5 linked regions of the Canis lupus familiaris genome follow. The protein of the gene in region 4 purifies or fractionates together with the protein of the main gene of each other region. This does not show direct contact. Links are inferred from orthologs where the notes say so. Each region holds a gene or a part of one and is shown on either strand. Other genes may lie near its edges. The genes, in order: DAXX, STUB1, ARRB1, MAP3K5 and MAP2K3.

Evidence for each region.
Region 1: the proteins of MAP3K5 (region 4) and DAXX purify together in Homo sapiens (affinity purification with western blotting; 7 studies listed by BioGRID and IntAct, with this or other methods). This does not show direct contact. The link is inferred for Canis lupus familiaris from reciprocal best matches to the Homo sapiens genes MAP3K5 and DAXX.
Region 2: the proteins of MAP3K5 (region 4) and STUB1 purify together in Homo sapiens (affinity purification with western blotting; 3 studies listed by BioGRID). This does not show direct contact. The link is inferred for Canis lupus familiaris from reciprocal best matches to the Homo sapiens genes MAP3K5 and STUB1.
Region 3: the proteins of MAP3K5 (region 4) and ARRB1 purify together in Homo sapiens (affinity purification with western blotting; 3 studies listed by BioGRID and IntAct, with this or other methods). This does not show direct contact. The link is inferred for Canis lupus familiaris from reciprocal best matches to the Homo sapiens genes MAP3K5 and ARRB1.
Region 5: the proteins of MAP3K5 (region 4) and MAP2K3 purify together in Homo sapiens (co-immunoprecipitation; 4 studies listed by BioGRID and IntAct, with this or other methods). This does not show direct contact. The link is inferred for Canis lupus familiaris from reciprocal best matches to the Homo sapiens genes MAP3K5 and MAP2K3.

Annotation. Positions count from the first base shown.
Region 1 is NC_049233.1:2,912,728-2,916,711, forward strand, and holds the start of DAXX (death domain-associated protein 6), read right to left. Parts: upstream 2,806-3,984; 5' UTR 2,667-2,805; intron 2,523-2,666; exon of another isoform or gene 2,377-2,522; intron 2,371-2,376; exon of another isoform or gene 2,291-2,370; intron 1,499-2,290; 5' UTR 1,447-1,498; coding exon 1,240-1,446; intron 1,086-1,239; coding exon 257-1,085; intron 132-256; coding exon 1-131. UniProt on the Homo sapiens protein: Transcription corepressor known to repress transcriptional potential of several sumoylated transcription factors. Down-regulates basal and activated transcription.
Region 2 is NC_049227.1:40,363,651-40,367,707, reverse strand, and holds STUB1 (E3 ubiquitin-protein ligase CHIP), read left to right. Parts: upstream 1-1,245; 5' UTR 1,246-1,358; coding exon 1,359-1,517; intron 1,518-2,073; coding exon 2,074-2,272; intron 2,273-2,364; coding exon 2,365-2,530; intron 2,531-2,590; exon of another isoform or gene 2,591-2,739; coding exon 2,740-2,827; exon of another isoform or gene 2,828-2,945; coding exon 2,946-3,002; exon of another isoform or gene 3,003-3,082; coding exon 3,083-3,199; intron 3,200-3,276; coding exon 3,277-3,402; 3' UTR 3,403-3,650; downstream 3,651-4,057. Other genes in the region: JMJD8 (jmjC domain-containing protein 8), read right to left, coding at 3,697-3,777, 3,852-3,986. UniProt on the Homo sapiens protein: E3 ubiquitin-protein ligase which targets misfolded chaperone substrates towards proteasomal degradation.
Region 3 is NC_049242.1:23,396,176-23,399,687, reverse strand, and holds part of ARRB1 (beta-arrestin-1), read right to left. Parts: intron 3,291-3,512; coding exon 3,094-3,290; intron 1,593-3,093; coding exon 1,533-1,592; intron 710-1,532; coding exon 642-709; intron 1-641. UniProt on the Homo sapiens protein: Functions in regulating agonist-mediated G-protein coupled receptor (GPCR) signaling by mediating both receptor desensitization and resensitization processes.
Region 4 is NC_049222.1:29,533,573-29,537,775, reverse strand, and holds the start of MAP3K5 (mitogen-activated protein kinase kinase kinase 5), read left to right. Parts: upstream 1-1,403; 5' UTR 1,404-1,422; coding exon 1,423-1,846; intron 1,847-4,203. UniProt on the Homo sapiens protein: Serine/threonine kinase which acts as an essential component of the MAP kinase signal transduction pathway. Plays an important role in the cascades of cellular responses evoked by changes in the environment.
Region 5 is NC_049226.1:42,945,235-42,949,266, forward strand, and holds the start of MAP2K3 (dual specificity mitogen-activated protein kinase kinase 3), read left to right. Parts: upstream 1-1,224; 5' UTR 1,225-1,379; coding exon 1,380-1,428; intron 1,429-4,032. UniProt on the Homo sapiens protein: Dual specificity kinase. Is activated by cytokines and environmental stress in vivo. Catalyzes the concomitant phosphorylation of a threonine and a tyrosine residue in the MAP kinase p38.

The sequences.
Region 1 (3,984 bases), on a different chromosome or scaffold from region 4:
CTCACCCTCCTCACTCTTGTCTTGCATCATTGCATATTTGGAGATGACCTCATCCAGCCGGCTCATAGCCAAGCTCCGGTTTTCTCGCAGGCGCCGGGCTAGGGCAGGATCTGACAGTGCAGGGTCAATGCCTACATGAGAAGATATAAAGTCAGAGTACTCAGCCCAAACCCTAGAAGAAGGGACTAGAGAGATGCTCCCTCCACCAAACATCTGACATACAAGGGTTACCAGTAGGCATCTCACTAATCCCTACCTGGCCTGTAGTCATCTGTGAGGTGACAGCCAAAGTTGTAGATGAGATCAAGGTGACGTCGCTCCTGTAACCTGATGCCCACGTCTCGGAAGGCATCCTGAGCCATGAGCTGGAGCTGCTGTCGGGGAAGACCAAGGCTGTGCCGAGCAGCTGCCTTCTCCACAGCCCGCAGTACATCTCCATAGTCAGGGAAGGTATCTGGCCCTGGTTTGTTGATGAGCCGCTCAATGCGCCTGTTAACCTCTGGGTAGCGGGTGCCACGATAGGGAATGCGCTGCTCTATGACACGGCCCGTCAGGGAAGAGCAGTCTTTGAGCTCACAAAGCCGCCCAAAGAGGCGGATCAGCTTACGCTTCAACCTTGCCTCCTGCAGGTATGTGGAGTCTGGGTCGTCCAATTCTGAGAGATCCAACTCTTTTTCCTGCAGCCGCCGGATCTCTGCCACATAGAGCGCTAGCAGCTGCTCCAAGCGCTGGATCTGCCGCCGGGAACCACGGGTCCTTGGTGCCTCAGAGGCAGTGGTCTCGGCATTTGTGGGGTCCGAGGAGGGGTCTGTGGGAGGGTTATTCCCAGAGGGTTCACTAGAGGTGGCAGCAGGGGCCAGGTTCAGCTTCTTCTTGGCTGAATGGGCCTTGAGAACAGTGCAGAGCTCATTAATGTAGACATAGAGCTTAGCTGGCCGGCTCTGGGCCCGGGATAGGACCCGAGAGAGGATGTTGCAGAACTCCGCCGAAGCCAAAAACAGAGAGTGGGCACGCTGCTGCCGGTTATAGAGGAATGGGACCACCTCAGGGTGGTCTGCTGTCTGCATCTTACAGAGTTCAAGGAACTGGAGGTTTCAGGAGAAGAAGGGAGGGGGGAAGAGACAAGGGGAGGGGTTGAGAGAAAGAAGGCAAGGCGGGATTAGTGGGGAAGAAAGGACTACAGAGCCAGTCAGCCATCCCCCTCCCTGGGGCACAAGAATCTTCTCCCCTAAAGCTCACCTCTTCAAACAGCTTCTCATTCTCCAACTTGTAGCATTTCTTGCCGCCAGAACTACTGCTTCCTCCAGCCCCATGGGGCTGGGAGGAGCCAGGGGCTTCTGCCTGGGGTGAGGCCGGATTGGGGGGTGGGTGGGAGGGCCCTGGCTGAGCAGCTGCTTCATCTTCGTCATCATCATCCAGCACGATGATGCTGTTAGCGGTGGCCATGGGGGATCAAATCCCCCGGAGGAAGGAAGTGTTGGGGATTTCGGAATTCCTGCTGGAAGGGGATGGGGCCTCAGAAAGAGCCCCTCCAGCATAGCCCCTCCCTTCATCTCACACATTTTCCAATCTTCTTGGGTTTCAGTAACACCCAGCCCTGCTCAACAGTGTCCTCACTGCCTAACTTCAGCAACCACTAGTACCAGACACTTTTCTGACCTTTCACTACCTGAAACCACCTGAAAACCTTAAGTCCCCACCCCCAGCTCTACCCCTTCTGTCGAGATCCAGTTTCCCCACTATCTCTCATACTTGCCAAGTTGACTTTTCCAATCTCTCGACCACCTCCTGCACGTGTGCACTCTGGATTTCCTCGACATTCCCTCGCACAGATACCACATCCCCGTCAGCACCACCTCACCAGCCTTCCCCCTTTCGCTCTCAAACACGTCAAATCCACACCCTCATCCCATCCTGAAGGATCACCCCCAACTCCTAGACTCTCAGAGGCGAAGGAGGTTCTCTCCCAACAATCCACTCCCGTTTCCCCTCCTGGGATTATTCTCACATTCCACCCTCTGACGGGTCTCCTCAAACCGGGACGTTAGGTTGGAGAGATCTCACCTCAAGTCCCCTCCCTCTCACCCCACCCGAATTCCCCCATTCTCTCTCTGTGACCTGTAACCGATTGTGAGCCCAGTACTGAGCTCTCCGGATTCCTCTCAGATCCCAACCCCGCATCCGACCCCTTCCCCCGAATGAGCTTCCCGCCAAGTCCCCCTCCCCCAGTTCAGCCCCCGGCCGCCCCATTCCCCTTCAGGGATTGGAAGGAAGGTACCACAGCTTGCACCTCAGACTCAGCGCCTGGGACTCCCCAGTACCTCTCCCTCGACATTCCCGCCCCTGCCTTCGCTCCCCGCACGGTCCGGCCCCCACCTCAGAAACGGTCTCTCGAGGCGACCCTCGCTGCTGATCTCAGAACCTCGCAGGGTTCCCTCCGCCTTCCTTCCCCCACCCACCGCAGGCCCTTCTCTGGACCGGAAGTCGCGGAGTTTCCGCCTACGGACACCTAGACGCGGCCATATTTTCGTACGGCGCCCGGCCCCCCTGAGGCAGGAAGTGGCGGTAGGCCCGCCCCCCCGCCCAGTGCCGCCCACAGAGTATGCCGCTCTCTTTCCTATGACCAGTAGAGGGCGGGCTTGTCCCCGCAGGACGTCCCAAAGTACCTGGGGGCCGCCATCTTGCCGTACGGTACTGGCTACGCCCGAACTCGGGGGCGCCACCGACGGAGCTCTTTTCGCCCGGTGCTTCTGCGACTCCACCAATCAGAAACTTCCTGCATCCAGCCCAACCGCCGGCGGGTCGCGTGCTGGAAGGACTGAGCCACCTTTCCAAGTAGGGGAGGGGAGGACGGAACAGGACAGCTAAGGAATTGGGCCCTCCAAGACTGTGCAGGGGTGCATAGGAGAGCGAGAATCTCCTAAGAGGGAAAAAAACCCTCTTCCTTCCGCTGGGCCATTGACCAGCCTTCCGGCGCCGCTTTCCTACCTGCCAGGTACCCTTTCCGCGGCTTCATCTACTGCGCCTGCCCTTTCCTTTCTGCAGGCTGCGCGCTCCCCAGCCGCTGTCCAGCAGCTACTTCTACTTCCCCGTGCCCACACCTCCCAATAGTGAAATCATAACACATGCATACAAACGAGCACAATTCGCTACACAAATTTGTTATTATTATTATTACTATTGTTATTGACTTCGTTTTAAGCGCCTCCAAGGAACTAATGACCCACCCAGCAGGTGAGACCTAGGTGGTTCTCCGTTCCTTTCTGGTGGGGTGCCCGAGGTGCATGCAGTGATGACCTGGAGGCCGTGCCTTGTCCAGGAGCTCCAGGGCCATAGGACCGCGATGTGGGGCGGGGGCTTTGAGGAGAATCTGTGCAAATTGCCGCTGTTGGATGAAATGAGACTTGTAAAATACCTTGAGTCTCCACTGGTCTCTTCCTCTTCCTCTGGGAGAGCTGAGAAAAGAACGGGGAGACAAGAAACTGACTGACGCCCCCTCGCCCACACCCGCACCTCACCCAACTTTAAAGAGGCCGGAAGGACTCGTGGAGGCCACGTTGGGTCCAAATACGAGCTTATGGGGAAGTCACACCGGTTAACACGGAGATTCTCCTCCCCTGCGTCACATTCCACAAGTGGTGAGTATCTTGCCACTTTCTAGGACCACAGAGTACCAGAACCTCAAACCCTCACTGCCATTAAAGAATCCCACACCATATGTAAGCCTACAGTCTTCAAATTAGGGAATACGAAAACTCCCCAAAAGGGTACGCAGACTTAGGAGACATAGGAATTTAATTTACAGATTCTCGACTTTCCCAAAATTGATCTGAGTAAATGCCTGCAAGTAAAGGTTTTCTTTCTTCCGGTTCCCTTTTATAATAGACTTGCTCCCTCTTAAAAAAAAAAAAAAAATGCATGCAAGCATACCTCCTTTTATTGTGCTTCACAGATATGTGTTTTTTACAAATTGAAGATTTGCAT
Region 2 (4,057 bases), on a different chromosome or scaffold from region 4:
GCCTTACATCAGCCCTGGCCACCCCCTCCCAGGCCTGGGGACATAGGACTGCCTGGCCAGGCAGTGGAGGTCCCCAAGTGTGGCCCTAGGGAGACCCTGCCCCTGCCTCTCCCCCACAACTTGCGGTCTGAGCCTTTTTGGAGAATGAATAAATATTTTACACAGCAGGAGGTGGCTGCAGTGGGCTCTGGGGGCTGGCCCCAGGGGCCCGCCCGGCCCTCGCACGGCAGCCCAAGCTCTCCCGGTGCTCCCTGCACCCAAACCAGGCGTGCGCGTGTGGCGGGTGTGCGAGGAGCTGGGGTCCTCACAGGCAGCGGAGACTGCAGCCCAGCCGGTCGCCCGCCCTCCGAGAACCCTGTGGCCCGGGCCCAGCAGGGTTCAGCCAGCCTGGCTTCTCTGCGCTTCTGGGCCGGCGCGGTGTCCTTGCGGGTGGCCAGGCTGGGGCGGGTCCCACGCGGGGAGGGGTCCCGGGCCTGAGGTCCCGCCCGGGCGGGGACAGAGGGGGGCGGGGGCCCGGGCCCAGGCCATGCGGCGCTCGGGCCGGCTCTGCCTGCCGCATGCACCCCGCCTCCCCAGGGCCGCGGGCGGCGGGCGCGCGGCGGCCTCGGAGCTCCTGCAGCCGGGGCTCGAGCCTCGCCAGCGTCTGGGCAGGCGGCTCCCGCGCACCCCCGGGGTCACGGCCACGGGCCCCCCGGCAGGCGACGACACTCACCGGCCGGGCCGAGGTGGGCTGGGCGGGGTGGGTGGGGGAACCTCACCCGGAGCCCCGCCCCCCGCTTCCACGCCGGCGGCCACGTGCTCCTCCGCTCCGCCCCCGGTGGCCGCGGGGAGCCCTCTGGGGCCTGGGGAGGGCGGCGACGGAGCCTCGGGCAGCGGGGTTCGGCCGTCCTGCCACCGCTCCAGAGCTTCCAGCCGTCCCTGGCGGCCGCGGCACCTCCCCGTGCGGCGCCAGGACCGCAGCCCCGCGGCCCTCAAGGCCCCACGGCCGCGCAGCCAGCCGGCGGCCGCCTAGTCCGCGCGGGGCGGGGCCTCGGCGGGGCGGGGCCTAGGCGGGGCGGGGCCTCGGCGGGGCGGGGCCGCGCTTGTCGCTGTCCCGGACGTCCGACGTCGCGGGTCGCGTTCCCTCGAGCGCATGCGCCCAGTCGGTCCCGCCCCCCCTTGCCTCCGCGGCCCGTCGGACGCAGGCGCGCCCCCGCCCGTGCCGCTGGCCCCGCCCCGCGCGGCCGGAAGTTCCGGTGGCGGATCGCTGGACCGGGCCCGAGCGGATCGCGGGCTCGGGCTGCGGGCTCGGGCTGCGGGCGCAGGGCGGGCCAGACGCGGAGCCTGGGAGCGAAGCCCGGGCTGTGCCGCGCGGCGCTATGAAGGGCAAGGAGGAGAAGGAGGGCGGCGCGCGGCTGGGCGCCGGCGGCGGAAGCCCCGAAAAGAGCCCGAGCGCGCAGGAGCTCAAGGAGCAGGGCAACCGGCTCTTCGTGGGCCGCAAGTACCCGGAGGCGGCGGCCTGCTACGGCCGCGCCATCGTGAGTGCGCCCGCGCCGGGGGAGGGGGCCGGCGTCCGGGCGGGGGAGTGGGCGGGGCCCGGCTCGCGGCCCCGCGTCCTCCCCGGAGCCCCTGCCCCGCCGCTCCCGCCGGACCCTCGGGGCGGTCTTGGTTCGCCCGCGGGGGCGTTTGGGCCCCGAGAACTCGGTGCTGATCATGTTCCAGTCGAGCCAAGGCCGCGCGGTTCTCGAGCCAGTGCTGGTTGCTGGAGGGGCGGGTGGGAGCTTGAGGGGTGCTCGAGGCCCCAGGCCGGGACCAGGGTTCCTGTCCCTTGAGAAGCCCAGGCCCGAAGCTGGGGCTCTCCTCAGGTCCGGGAACCTCACCTTTACAAAACCTCCTGGGAGCCCCGAGAGGGTGGGCTAGCGCAGGCCTGAGGACCGGGAGTTCACTCTACAGCCCTAGCTGAGCAGAGGCTTCCAAGCTGAGAAATTTCTAGTGTCTGGATTTTAGCTACGGGCTCCCAGACCAGGACAGGGCCTAGGACAGGGCCCACGGAGCTTTTTCCCTCATGCTGGCTGGCCTGGCCTTGGTCCCCAGACCCGGAATCCTCTGGTGGCCGTGTACTACACCAACCGGGCGTTGTGCTATCTGAAGATGCAGCAGCATGAGCAGGCCCTGGCTGACTGCCGGCGGGCTCTGGAACTGGACGGGCAGTCTGTGAAGGCACACTTCTTCCTGGGGCAGTGCCAGCTAGAGATGGAGAGCTATGATGAGGCCATCGCCAACCTGCAGCGAGGTGGGCCTACAGGTTGTCAGGGGACGGCGGGGGCGCCTGGGACCAGGTGGATGGACTGGCCAGAAGGTGACCTGAAGCCCCTGTTCCCCCAGCCTACAACCTTGCCAAGGAGCAGCGGCTCAACTTCGGGGATGATATCCCTAGTGCTCTGCGCATCGCCAAGAAGAAGCGTTGGAACAGCATCGAGGAGCGGCGCATCCACCAGGAGAATGAGCTGCACTCCTACCTCACTCGGCTTATTGTGGCCGAGCGGGAGAGGTGGGCTGTGGTAGCGGCAGGCTCCAGGGCCCCACCCACCCCCAAGGCAGCACTCTGGGGTTAACTGAGTCAAGAACACAAGTGTTTATTGAAGGCCAGCACTGGCGAGCAGTTGGAGGGAAGAGAGACCTGAACAAGCCTGAGGTTGGGGTGGAGTGTGATCTCTTCTGGCCAGACCCATTCCTGACTAGCTCCTGGTCGACCCCCAGGGAGCTAGAAGAATGCCAGCGGAACCACGAGGGTGATGAGGATGATGGCCACGTCCGGGCCCAGCAGGCCTGCATCGAGGCCAAGCACGTGAGGGTGCCCCAGCCCACGTGTGGATGTGTGCGTGTTTGCGTGCCTGTGACTGGAGGGTGCCCGGGGGAGGGGGAAGGGGCATTTGGCCCACGCGTAGCTGCTTGGTTCTCCGCAGGACAAGTACTTAGCAGACATGGATGAGCTTTTCTCCCAGGTGGACGAGAAGAGAAAGGTAAGCTGTCTGTCCTCTGGGTAGCAGGAATCGGAGCCGGGTCCCCATCCTGGTGCCTGACCTGACTCCATGTGCCACAGAAGCGAGACATCCCGGACTACCTGTGTGGCAAGATCAGCTTCGAGCTTATGCGGGAGCCGTGCATCACGCCTAGTGGCATCACCTACGACCGCAAGGACATTGAGGAACACCTGCAGGTGAGAGCCAACAAGAGTGGGGAGCAGGGCCCGTAACCACTGAGCACTTTCTGACCTGCTGTCACTGCACACTGCAGCGTGTGGGCCACTTTGACCCTGTCACCCGGAGCCCCCTGACCCAGGAACAGCTCATCCCCAACCTGGCCATGAAAGAGGTCATTGATGCATTCATCTCCGAGAACGGCTGGGTGGAGGACTACTGAGGCCAGGCGAGTGCCAGAGCTGCCTGCCTTGCCTAGTACCCTGGCCCAGGTGGGCTTTGGGGCAGTAGCTCCCAGTTCCTGTACATAGTTTGTGTCCCTAGATCCCTGCCCTGGTGTCCCTTATCCCACCCTCATCAGTTCTGCTGCTGGACCATGAGCCCCACCTCCACCCCCTTCTGGGCCAGAAACAGCAGGTGAGGGTGGGCTGCTGCCACCACTGTCCTGTAATAAAACCTGTGAGCACTATAGGGGTGTGTGCTGGTGTGTGCTGGGCTCACCAGCCGCCCACTCTACCTAGCCGAGGAAAGTAGAGATAAAAACACTGGTGTCCAGGTTGAGCGTAGCATGCCACCACCGGTCAGGGAAATACAGCACCTGGTGGAGGGTGGGGCACAAGGATTAGCTGGTGGCGTGTGATCCAGCCTGACCCCTTCCTGCCACCTACTGACCTCACCAGCCTGCACGGTGCACTCCAGGGGCCTCTCAGATGGTGCCAGGGTTGGGTACACGTCCTGAAGCCAGGCCAGTGTGGTTTTGTTGGGGTGGAACTCAGGTGTCTTCTCAGGGGGATACAGGAACCAGCGCTGAGGGTGAGATCAGCCCGTCACTCCATGTTGGCAGGCAGTAAGCCCCAAGCCGCAGCCCCGGCCCGTGC
Region 3 (3,512 bases), on a different chromosome or scaffold from region 4:
CCTCCTCGCCAGAAGACAGGGCAGGGCCTGCCTTGAGGAGGAACAGGCACGAGAGCAGGGCTGGGCAGTCTATCTCAGAAGTCAGGTCCAGCTGTTTCCAGCTGCCAGTCTGGACTGTCTGCCCAGGGCTGTGCCTCTCTAGAGAACACTACCTCTTCTGACACGTGGGCTGACCCATCCCACACCCCACTGCCGCCCCCACTACCACCTGCTGCTGATGGCTTCCCAGGAGAAGTAGGAAGTAGGGGTTCAGGGTGGCTGGAAAAAACTCTTGCTCACTCTTTAAAATGATCCAAATTTTGTGTTTCTTTCCAAAATAAAATAAAAACATGCAGTCTCATGGGGCAAGACTTGAAGCAGGGTGATGGAGGAGGCAGGTTCAGCATTGTAAAGGGAGAAATCCTGAGGCCTGAGGCCTGAGCCCTAAGCCCCAGACAGTTGAGCCACTTTCTCCAGGAACCCCTCCAGGACTTGCCAGCCTTCCAGAGGGCCCTTCTTGGAGTTTCTGGGGCTGGAATATGCGGCCCCTCCTCACACACTTCCAGGTATTGTTACTTATCTCTTCTCTGACTTTGCTGGTCTTGTCTCTCTCCCTCTGCCAGTAGGCAGCCCACACCCAGCGGAAGCTGTGCCCTTCTCACCGCTTGTGGATCTTTTCCTCCAGGTTCTCGGCACAGAAGGCTTTGACCTCGTAGTCCACACCACAGGCCTGAGGAGAAGGGGCTGCTGACCACAGGGTCCCGACAGCACAGCCATCCCACCCTCTTATTTTACAAACCAGGACCCTGGAGGGGAATAGCAAACTTCACAGGCCAACCGCCCCTCAGCCTGATTCAGGACCCTGTGATCGGCCTCAGCCCCAGTGCTGTGCTGCACCCCAACCCCACCTGGCCTTCCCACAGAGCTCCCCTAGCTCCCCCAACACTGGGTGTCCCAAACTGCCCTAACTGGGCTCCACCCTGCAGACACCTGCCTGGTCTGGGCAGCTGTCCTCATTAAGGCAGCCACTCGGCAATAACAATGGGGGTGCTCAGCAGTCCTAGGAGGGGAGCACAGACTATGTGCAGACCCAACAGTGCTCTGGTGGCTCACTCCACCCTCTAAACTGCAGGAGGAGGCATAGCCTCTCATCTCCATTTTGCAGGTGAAGACAAGGGGGCTCAGAGATCTGGGGCCTGTGACACTAGTAGTGTCACTTCTCTTGGAGCCTCCATTTCTCCACTTGTGAGACCACAGTGAATGGACCCCCATGCAAGGTTGTGAGGCCAAGAGGTAGTCCAGAGAACATTTTGGTTCTGCTGCAGCCAACAGTAAGCCCAGGAGAGACTGCATGTAATGGAATGCGGGGGTGAGGATGACACCCTATCTGCCTGCTGCCCTGTATGAAAAGAGCCGGCTTATCTGAGGCAGTGTTGAAGTGGCTTCCACACAGGGAGGCTTCCACACAGAGTTCCGATGCCTCTCAGAAAGCCAGGGCCCTGGGGATACAAATGTCCTTTACCCGGAGAGAGGCTTCCAGAGACGTGACCCACCTTCCCCGTGTCTTCAGGCCCTGGCTGCAATGTCACAGAGCACGGGAGGTTTGGAGGGATCTGTTAAGAGGACAGACAGGTCTCCTGTCACATTGACCATTGAGCTCCTCATGTTGCCCACCCACCACCCCCACACACATTTATCAGACCAGGGGGCCCTAGCAACAGGCCATGTCTCCCCCATCAGACCATGCCAAGGATGCCCCACACTGGGCCAGAAGCCCTCCAGTAAAGCCAAGGATTTCAGTGCTTTTCTTTATCTAAAGGATTTTGCCTAGGGGCATCTGGGTGGCTCAGTGGTTGACTGTCTGCCTTCGGCTAAGGTTGGGATTCTGGGGTCTGGGGATCGAGTCCCGCATTGGGCTCCCTGCATGGAGCCTGCTTCTCCCTCTGCTGTGTCTCTGCCTCTGTGTGTCTGTCATGAATAAATAAAATCTTAAAAAAAAAATTAAAATAAAGTGTTCTGCCTAGATTGTAGTAGGCAGAACAAGCCCCCCCACCCCCTCAAAGGTGCCCACCTTCTAATCCCCAGAACCTTCAACTGCTACCTTACTTGGCAAAGGGGATTTTACAGGTGTGATTAAGTTAAAACTCTTGAGATGGGGAGAGTAGCCCGAGTTATCCAGGTGTGCCCGATGTAATCACAATGGACCTTAGCAGGGAAAGCAGGAAACAGAAGAGTCGGTGTCAAAGTGGTGGGCTGCAAGAAAGACTGACCAGCCATTGCTGGCTTTGAAGACAGAGGGGTAGGCTTCAAGCTAGGGAACACAAGCAGTTTCTAGAAGCTGGAAAAGGCAAGGCCTAGAGCCTCCAGAAAGAATACAGCCCTGCTGACACTTTGATTTTAGCCCAGTGCAACCTGTTTTTTTGTTTGTTTGTTTGTTTGTTTGTTTGTTTGTTTTGACTTGTAACCTCCAAAACTGTAAGGTCAGAAACTTGTGTTTTAATGGTCACATTTAATTCCCACCAGGTTGGCAGCAGCTTGTTTGTTACAGCAGCCACAGGAAACCAATACATCTGCCATGGACAGGATGACTGTAATGTCTCTCCTCTGGTTTCCCAGAAAGCCAGGGGATTTCACTGAATCACAGAATCAGAGTCTGAGAAACAGGAAGTTTTAAAATCCAGAATCTGGGAGTCTTTCCATTTGGAAAAGTGGCAGAGCAGGGAAATCACTACATGCCATCCCTCATTAATGAGCTGCGCTGGAGCTCAGCTGGAGCTGGGCCGAAGCTGGGCATGCGGGCAGCTGGTCTGAGGGAGGAGACAGTCCTGTAGTAATTCAGAGGTGAGAAAGGGCTCCTTCTTTCTCTGCAGCCTCTGCCCACCCGGCTCTCTCCCGCCACGAGCTGGACTCGGGAGGGTCCAAGGAGTAGCTCAGAGGTAAGGTGACACCCCTGGCAGTGGCCAGAGAAGAGACACTTACCAGGAAGTATAAGTGACAGTGCCCCAGGTCCCAATGTACACTGAGAAATTGAGTGACATGGAGCTGCTGCCCCAGCTGTCCCCATGTGCTTGCCCACAGGGCTTCCTACTGGTGGTGCAGTTGGCAGTCCCTAACCTCAAAGGTGAAAGGATAGGCATGCTCGCCCAGCTTCTTGATGAGGCGCTCCTGCAGCCGTGTCAGGGGCTTCTTGTCCTCAGGGGCTGGCGGGAAGGACTGCACGTTGGCCACAAACAGATCCTTGCGAAACGTCAGGCCCAGGACATCCAGGTCCTCCCGGCCATAGCGGAAGGCGCAGGTCAGTGTCACGTAGACTGTGGGAGCAGGGGGCATGGAGGATGAGCCCAAGAGGGCAGCAAACAAGCCCCCAAGAGCACCAGCTGAGCCCTGGGATTGGCCCAACTGGAGCTCAAAGGTCTGTCCCAAAGCTCCTGTGTGGGAAGGCTGTGCAGCCCTCGGGATGGGGGTACTGGGTACCCAGGAGAACCACTCAGACCTGGCCCCTAGGGGGAGGTGAGGGCTGACTGCTGGATCAG
Region 4 (4,203 bases):
GATGCTTTGCGGAGTGGGGTATAGATCCCTTATTCTGTCTCCTGAAAGCATAGGACACCGCGTGCGCGGGAGGGGGTACCTTTTAAGAACCTAAATGAGAGTGCTTCAGTCGTTCAGCAGTTAGGCCTAGTCAATTACTCATTAACGATAACATTGCCAGTGCAATTTTTTTTTTAATGGAAAGTAGCGGAGGCCGACCTGATAAGTTGTGCCAGCCACGGTCGGGAATCGATCGCCCGTTGCCGTCCAATATAGGCCCCCGCGGCGGGGCGCTAGAGGAAATCCTCCGGCCTTGCGCAACGCAGGCCCCTCGGCGCAGCCCAGCGCTGGAGCGCCGCGCGCCGAACCAGACCGCGCGCAGGGCGAGGCCGCCAGGCGCCGGACGGGGGCGCCCTGGCTGCGGGGACCGGGGCGAGAGCCTCCCGATAGCTCCGGAGCCCCGAGTGTTCTCCGGAGAGACTTTTTTTTTCTTTTTTTTCTTTTTCGTGCGCCGTGCTGCCTTCGCGCGCGCTCCAGGCTTTGGCCGACTCCGGGTCTTCTTAGGTGGGGGTCCGGTGGGTGACGGCGGAGCACTCCCGCCCCGCGCCGAGCCCGGGGCCTGGCCGAGGTCCGGGAGCCGCGGCGCGGCCGGTTTCGTCCCGGCTCCAGCTTCCCAGCAGCGCCCTCCCCCGGGGCGGGCCCTGACTCTCGGGGCCGCGACGAGTGGGCGGCAGAAGCCGGTGGCCCCCTGGGCGAGCGGCTGCGGGGAGCGGCGAGACCCAGCGGCGAGGCTGGCGCTGGGACGCAGCGGCCGCGGCGCGCTCGGGCGAGAAACGAGGCCAGGGGAGGAGGAGGAACTAGAGCCCATGAAGGGGAGCTGCCGCCGAGGAGGGAGGCGGGTCCTTTCGGCTGCGGCGGCTGCTGTTCCGGGACGCAGCCCGGGGAGCCTGCTCGCCCGAGAGGTGCTGGCCAGGTAGCTCCCCACCCAGCGGGCGCCCTCCCCGGCCCCTCCCAGCGCCCGGCACGCAAGGAGCGGGAGCCGCGCTCCGGGGGGCCAGGGCGCTCCGCACGGCGAGCGCGGCGCCCTTGAGCTGCACGGCGGCGCGGGCTCGCGAGCCGACTTGTCTGCCGGCAGCAGAAGGAAGCGCGGTCCCTTCCCGCTCACCCTGGCGTCCCCACCGCTCGTACTCTACACCCTGCCTCGGGCGAGCGGCGCGGCCACGGAGGCGCCGAGGAGGGGCGAGCCGCCGCCGGGTAGCGGCGTGCCCCCGGGAGAGAGGGCGCCGGAGAGGAGGCGGCGGCGCGGTGCGGAGGGCGCGACGCGCGATGGCAGCTGCTTAGCCCGGCGCGCGCGGAGCAGCCCGGAGCTGTGGCTGGCCAGACGGTGCGGCTGGGCTGGGGGGGGACGCCGCCGCCGCCGCCGCCGCAGCCCGGCCGGGAGAGATGAGCGCCGAGGCGGGCGAGGGCATCACTTTCTCCGTGCCACCCTTCGCCGAGGGCGGCAGCTGCCGGAGGGGAGGAGCGGCGGCGCCGGCCGAGGGCCCGGAGAGCCAACTACCACCGCCGCCGCCGGGCAGCTTCTGGAACGTGGAGAGTGCCGCCGCCCCGGGCGCCGGCTGTCCGGCTGCCACCTCTGCGAGCAGCGCCACCCGGTGCCGGGGCAGCTCTGGTGGCGGAGGCGGCCGACGGACCACGGTGGCTTATGTGATCAACGAAGCGAGCCAGGGGCAGCTGGTGGTGGCCGAGAGCGAGGCCCTGCAGAGCCTGCGGGAGGCGTGCGAGACGGTGGGCGCCACCCTGGAGACCCTGCATTTTGGCAAACTGGACTTCGGGGAAACCACGGTGCTGGACCGCTTTTACAACGCAGGTGCGTGTGCAGCCCCTTCCGCGTCCTCCACGGTCAGGGGCCACGTTCTCCCTGGCCGCCCGCAGCGGGGCAAGGTTTTCCTAGGCGGCAGGCGTGCTTCCTCCTTACCCACTTCTTGCCCCACCTTAGGGGCAGCGAGCGGCGCTGCGTGACTGCTCCGGGCGCTCGCTGCCCCCGGGGAAGAGTGGGTGCGGGTGCAAGATCCTGTGTACTTGTGCTAGACCGACTGGGTCACCCGCCGGCCCGCGCTGGAGCCGGTCCGGAGGCCCCTCCTCAAGAACTTTTCACTTCTAAAGTAGTGCGAGATAGTGGCCCCATCAGCCTTTGTCCATTTGGGGTCTTGGTTTCTCTTTTGCTAGGTTTGGCCCATTTCTCCCTTCTATATATACACCTGTGACTATTTTAGATGACGCTTTCATTTTTTCTCTGTGTGGTGTTGGGAGAACAGGAACCACGCAGCCCGCTGCTCTCAGAGTCTATCTATACGCATTTGCATGTCGTGTCGTGATCTTCCCAAGTCCTTTCACTCGAACATATTTAGTAGCTTGGATGTTCTAGTCTTAACCGATTTGAACTTCTAAGGAATTACTTCCAAAAGCAGTAACCTTGTCACTTGAACTAAACTTTCGTGGTGTCTTTGTTAGGATTTTGGTGGGAGAATATTATTACCCCATATACCACAATGAGCTGGAAAGTACATAATTTAACATTGTTTAAAATATTTACTATTTTAATAACTAAAAATTAGTTTGTTTAAAGGGAGTGCCACCAGCCCCGGTGGCGCAGCGGTTTAGCGCCGCCTGCAGCCCGGGGCGTGATCCTGGAGACCCTGGATCGAGTCCCACGTCAGGCTCTCTGCGTGGAACCTGCTTCTCCCTCTGCCTGTGTCTCTGCCTCTCCCTGTCTCTGTGTCTCTGAATAAATAAATAAAATCTTAAAAGAATAAATAAAATGTAAAATTAAAAAAATAGAGTGCCAATGTAATCCATAAAAAAGTTATCTTTTCAAGTATCACATATTTCAGAAACTGTCATTGCAGTTCTAGTGATTGATGCAATTAGCTATTTGCTTGCTAAAGTTGGGAATAATATTAACATGCTATTGAAGTTAACCTTTAGTACCCTGTACAACCAAATATGAGAACATACATGTATTTATTTTTTCTAAGTGTGGGCGGAAAATTTAACAGTGGTTTCAAACAATAAGATTCTTGCATTTGTGATCACGTAAAAGGTTTTATATTCCAAACTTGCTTTCAGTTCTGATTCTCTTCAGTCTCTTCAAAACACCTGAAGTAGGCTTATGTCAGCTTTGGAATTCAGCCAAAACTGAATATTTTTAAGAACCAGAAGAACTTCATGTTAAAGAAGTCAGACTAAATAAACCAGGGCTTTCTGGTGCTGGTATTTTTTTTACAGTCTTGGTCTTCAGAACTGAACCTGAGTATGATATATTATAGCTCAGTTTTTTGTGTGGCTTGCTATAAAAATTGCATAAATGTAACTTTTCTAAAAATTATAGCACTCTTATTTTTGGATTATAGTTTGGAAGAAACTTCAAAGAACTGAAAGATATGTGAGGAAAACACCCAAGCAAATACTGAGCCTATTTTTATTGCTCTGATAGATTCTGTATTTTTTATAGGACTCTAAAAAAATAAAAAATCTTAAACTCTAGGCTAATTTGGAAGATAGTTTCCTAACATGGCACAGTTACTGTTTGTTCTCCAAATAACTGTTTGTGGGAAAGAGACAAAGGAAGACTACAAGGGGACCGACATTTGAACTGTATCTTTAATCCCCCAAACAAGCCCATTAAGGAAGTACTTCTTATTCTTCTCAGATGAGGAAACCAAGGACTTTATAACTGGCCTAGACTTACAGGTAGTAACTGATCAATGCAGGGTTCCATTTCAGGTGGCTGACTCTAAAAGGTCATCTTTGCTGCTGCCTCCATTTAGCTGGGCTGATTTACTCTATCTTGGAATCATGTGATAGAGAGCTGGCGGGGACCTGGTGAGCCATTGAGGTGCAGCGTGAATCATGGGGAGGACACTTTGGGAAGACTCGTTTCTGAGCCATTCTGAGCCATCTCTCTCCCATCCATTGCTTCATTCAACCTGAGCAGGCCCCAGTTTAACCCCTACTTATGCTCATGGTAATGAACTCTGAGCCCTGTCATTGAGTCTGAAGATGTGACCAAATGAAGATGGTATGTTTTGTCCAAATCCTTTGTTTTTCTCAACTGACGGCTGCCAACTTGGATGGTAGTAGAACTTTTCTTCTGATTTCAGAGGGAGCGCTTGCTCCTCCTCCACCAGGGAAACAGTTTTCTGGGAAGGGCCAGATGGTAAATAT
Region 5 (4,032 bases), on a different chromosome or scaffold from region 4:
CCTTTTTACTAATGGGCAAGCAGAGGTCAGCTCCCCGCTCCAAGCATTTCTAGCAGGTGGTGGAATCTGCTTCCCTCACGTGAGGTCCCTGGCAGGCAGCACACTCATGCCTGCCCAGAGGCGAGGGGCTGACCCGTTGACCTCTGCCAGGCGCTTCCTGCCCTCGCTAGCCCATAGCTTTGCATCTGAGTCACCTGATCCCCAGGCCAGATTGCTCGGTGGCTCCTAAAATCCCCCTAGACTCCACAGGGGAGAAGGGAGGACTGGCCTGGGTGGCTATTACATGCTATGCAGTCTGTATGTCCAGAAGGAGGCCCGGAGGGCAGAGGAGAAGAGAACCAAAGGCCCACCTTACTCCCCCTGAGACTCCGTCTCCCGTGTAGAGGAGGGACCTTGAAGACCCAACCCCTAGCGCTACATGTACTGGCTTCCCGGTAGGTAGTCCCCCACTGTGACCCACCCCTTCCCCGGTGCCTGACCCCCGGCGGGCGCTCAGAGGAGGTTTGCAGAGGCAGGGAAGAGAGGTGCGGACCCCGGGCACTGTGCCTAAGCCCTTGACAACACTGGGTCCCCCAGGACTGCCTGCAAGGGCCGCCCGGTTCCCCCGCGCAGCGCCGGGAGGCCGGGCCCTTCTGGTCTCCTTCCCACAGAGGCAAAGACCGAGCTGGGCTCCAGGGGCTCCCTGGCTTGCCCAAGGTCACGGGCGCTGGAGAGTGGCCAGGTAGGGATCCGGACGCAGGGCTCGCCCCGGGGGCGCACTCTAACCCCCCGTCCCCCAGCCCCGCCACCCTGGGATACCAGGGGATTGTCCCAGGGGACGCCACACACCCAGCCGTGCCCGCGGAGCTCACCGGCCGGGCGCTGCGGGGCGGGGCGGGGCGGGGCGGGGAAGGCGGGGCGGGGCCTGGTGCCTGAGGGCGCGAGCCGGGCTCGGCCAATCCCGGGCAGTGGGCGGGGCTTGCGTCTTGACAGGCGGCGGGAGGGGCCGGCGCTGGCCCCGAGGGGGCCCGGGTTTCCCGGCTGGAGGGCGGGGCTCGACAGGCAGTGGGAGGAGCCGGGTGCGGGGCGGGAGGGGCGAGGCGGGCGCTTGACGGGCACGCCGGGCCGGCCTCTGATAGGCAGGGGACGGGCCCCGGAGACTGGCGGGCCAATCGGCGCGCGGGGGCGGGGCTGTCGTCGGCGCCGTCCGGCCGGGGCCCCCGCGGCGCTGCCCAGTCTGGCTCCGGCACCGCCCGTCGCGGACGCGCTCTCGCCGCCCCCGCCTGCGCACCGCCGCCGCGCCCGGGCCCCCTGCCCGCAGCCATGAGCGCTCTCCACCCGGGGGGAGCCCGCCGCCCTCTAGATTAGTTCCTGCCACCGCTCCTGGACCCGCCTGCACCATGGAGTCCCCCGCCTCCAGTCAGCCCGCTAGCATGCCCCAGACCAAAGGTAGGAATGCCCGGGGGGAGCGCGGCTCCCCGGTCGCGCCCGGACCACGAACCCCAGGCTGTCTGTGGGACCCTGTTGCAACCCCCGTCCGGGACCCGGGCAGCACTGCGGCTCGGAATCCTTCCCCATTCGGGTCTCGATCTCAGCCTGGACCTCACCTGGACCCCCCCCTCCCCCGCCCCGTTCGGGCCTGGGGACTGCACTCAGATCAGACCCGATCTCGTTCCGGTGACCCCGCTCCAGGTCAGAAACCTCACTCTGACCTCCTCATTTAGGCCTTAACTGCACCCAGAACAGGAATTCTCCCCGTCTGGGTCCTTCTGCTGGATCCAGGTGGGAATCACTCGGATCCTGCACCCAGGGCCCCCTTCCACTCCCCTGGTCCCAGGGCTGTATCCACGCTGGGATTTAAATGACTCCCCATCTGAGCCCCAGCAGTGCTGCTTTGCGGGGGGGAATCTCACTGTACACCCCCCGCTCCCCATGTGGGTGCCCTGGCTACACTCCAGCCAAGAACTCACTCCTCTTCCCCAACTCTCTCCATCCACATAGGCCCCATCCCTGGCCAGCTTGCAGCCCTGCAGCCTTGTCCCCCAGGAACCTCTCTTGGCCTTCCACCCCACGCTAACACAAGCCCCCTCTCCATCAGCTTCTCCTTGTCTTGACTTGCAAGCTTCTCTCTGCACTTGGGGAGCTCACCCCCTTTTGCTCCCCTGTATCTCCAGGGTTAATGGATACTGGACTTGTCCCTGCTGCCTCTGAGTTCTGGGTCAGCCGCTAGGCCAGGGTGCTGGCTGTGCAATGGGCTCACTTTAGTCTTCTCCAAGTAGCTGGCCTTCCTGGAAATTTTTGTGAGGTGGCGGCTGCAGCGTCAAAGCGGCAGGATTTGTCATGCGGGGCAGGGGGGGGAGGGGGGTGAAACTTGGAGGGTGAAAGGGGGATTTTGTGTGTGTGTGTGTGTGTGTGTGTGTGTGCGCGTGCATGGGGAAGAGGAAAGGATGTTTTTGGCACGTCAGAGCCTCAGCAGGCTAGGCTGTGTGAGATTTCCAAACCGGACATAGCTGTAATGAATGGGCTGCCCCTTGGGCCTCTAAACCTGCCTCTTCCTCACCCCAACAGCAGGAGTATCTCTGGGCCTCAGTTTCCTTATCTGTAAAATGGAAGTAATCACACATACCTTGTGTGGATTGCTGGGTATGATATGAGGTAGCAAATACTAAAGAGTTTCATGCAAGCATGGGCGAGGAGAAGAGTGCAGCATGATGCCTGGCACACAGTAGGTGCTGAGCCAGGGACAATAATTGCCCACACCTTGTTACCGTTCTCCTCAGCCATGTGGGGTCAAGGCCTTGGCTCTGTTTGCATTGCAGCTGCAGAGTGAGGTGGAGAAAGGTAACTGATGTCACTCAGTGGGCCTCTACTCAGGGCTTGATCCTACCTCTGTTTCTCTAGAGGGGCTCAGGCAGCAGGAGGGCTGAGGGGTCCCAGGGAGGGTGTGGGTCCATCTCTACCCCTGCTGCCTGTGGCTGCGGTGGCTGTTAGCCAGAGCCTGGCCGGCCTGGTGGGCAGGATAATTACGTCTTACGTAAGTGGGAGGCCGGATCCCTGACCATTGCCCAACCACTGTGAGTAACTCAGGAGGCACTCAAGGGGGGAGGTGGCCGGGGAGGGACTTGGCCTGCACGGACCTCGTGGAGCTTGGGAACTGGGAAATCATATGCTTTGCCATTTTGGAGAACTAGGACCCCAGACACTTCTTTTGTCTAGTGTGGGGTCTCTGCCTGGCTTGGTCAGTGCCATGGGACTTCCAGCAGGTCCCTCAACTTCTCTGGGCCACAGTGTTTTCATGGGCAGAAGGACACAGTTGGAAGCAGTGTTTGTCTTCCGATGCTCAGATGCTCGTTCAGCTGCTTCCAGGCAGGGAATACCTCATCACAATAAAAGTTGTAGAGTTGTGAAGGGAGAGGGGTCAAAGGTGTGAAGGGAAAAGGAACTTGGGGGAGGCACTGCTTGATTCCTGTGTGCTGTGTGACTTGAATCCTGGTGTTGCCCTCTCTGAGCCTCTCTGCAGAGATTAACAAGATGAATTTCCAGTTTGTGGGTCCAGGTAATACCTGATAGTGTGTGGGTTAGATGGAGGGACAGGTACTTCTGCAAAGCTCAGGGACCTTATCAGCCTCTTTAGGGTCTGTGGAAAGATATGGTGGGGAGCCATGACACCCCCTCACCAAAAAATCTGAGAGCTGCCACTTATCAAGCTTTTTTCCATGTTCCATGTGCTCTCCCATTTATTCCTCGAAGCCCCATTTACAGATGAGGAAATTGAGGCTTGGAGATGGTCAGTGCCTTGCCTGAGCTCATACAGCTGTGACAGGTGCAGCTATGTCTCTATCCAGGACTGTGTATCTCCAAAGGTCTCCCCCGTGCTCCTTTATGTCCCATTCCTGTCCTTGATGCTCCAGCAGAGCTAATGGGACGTCCCCCATTCCCCCACCCCGCCATCCCAGCTGGTGGGACCCTATGTTATGCCTTTGTCTAGTCTGCATCTCCTCCAGGCCTGGCCTTACCTGGAGTGGGGACTGAGCTAGGGGTGATGCCTCTTGT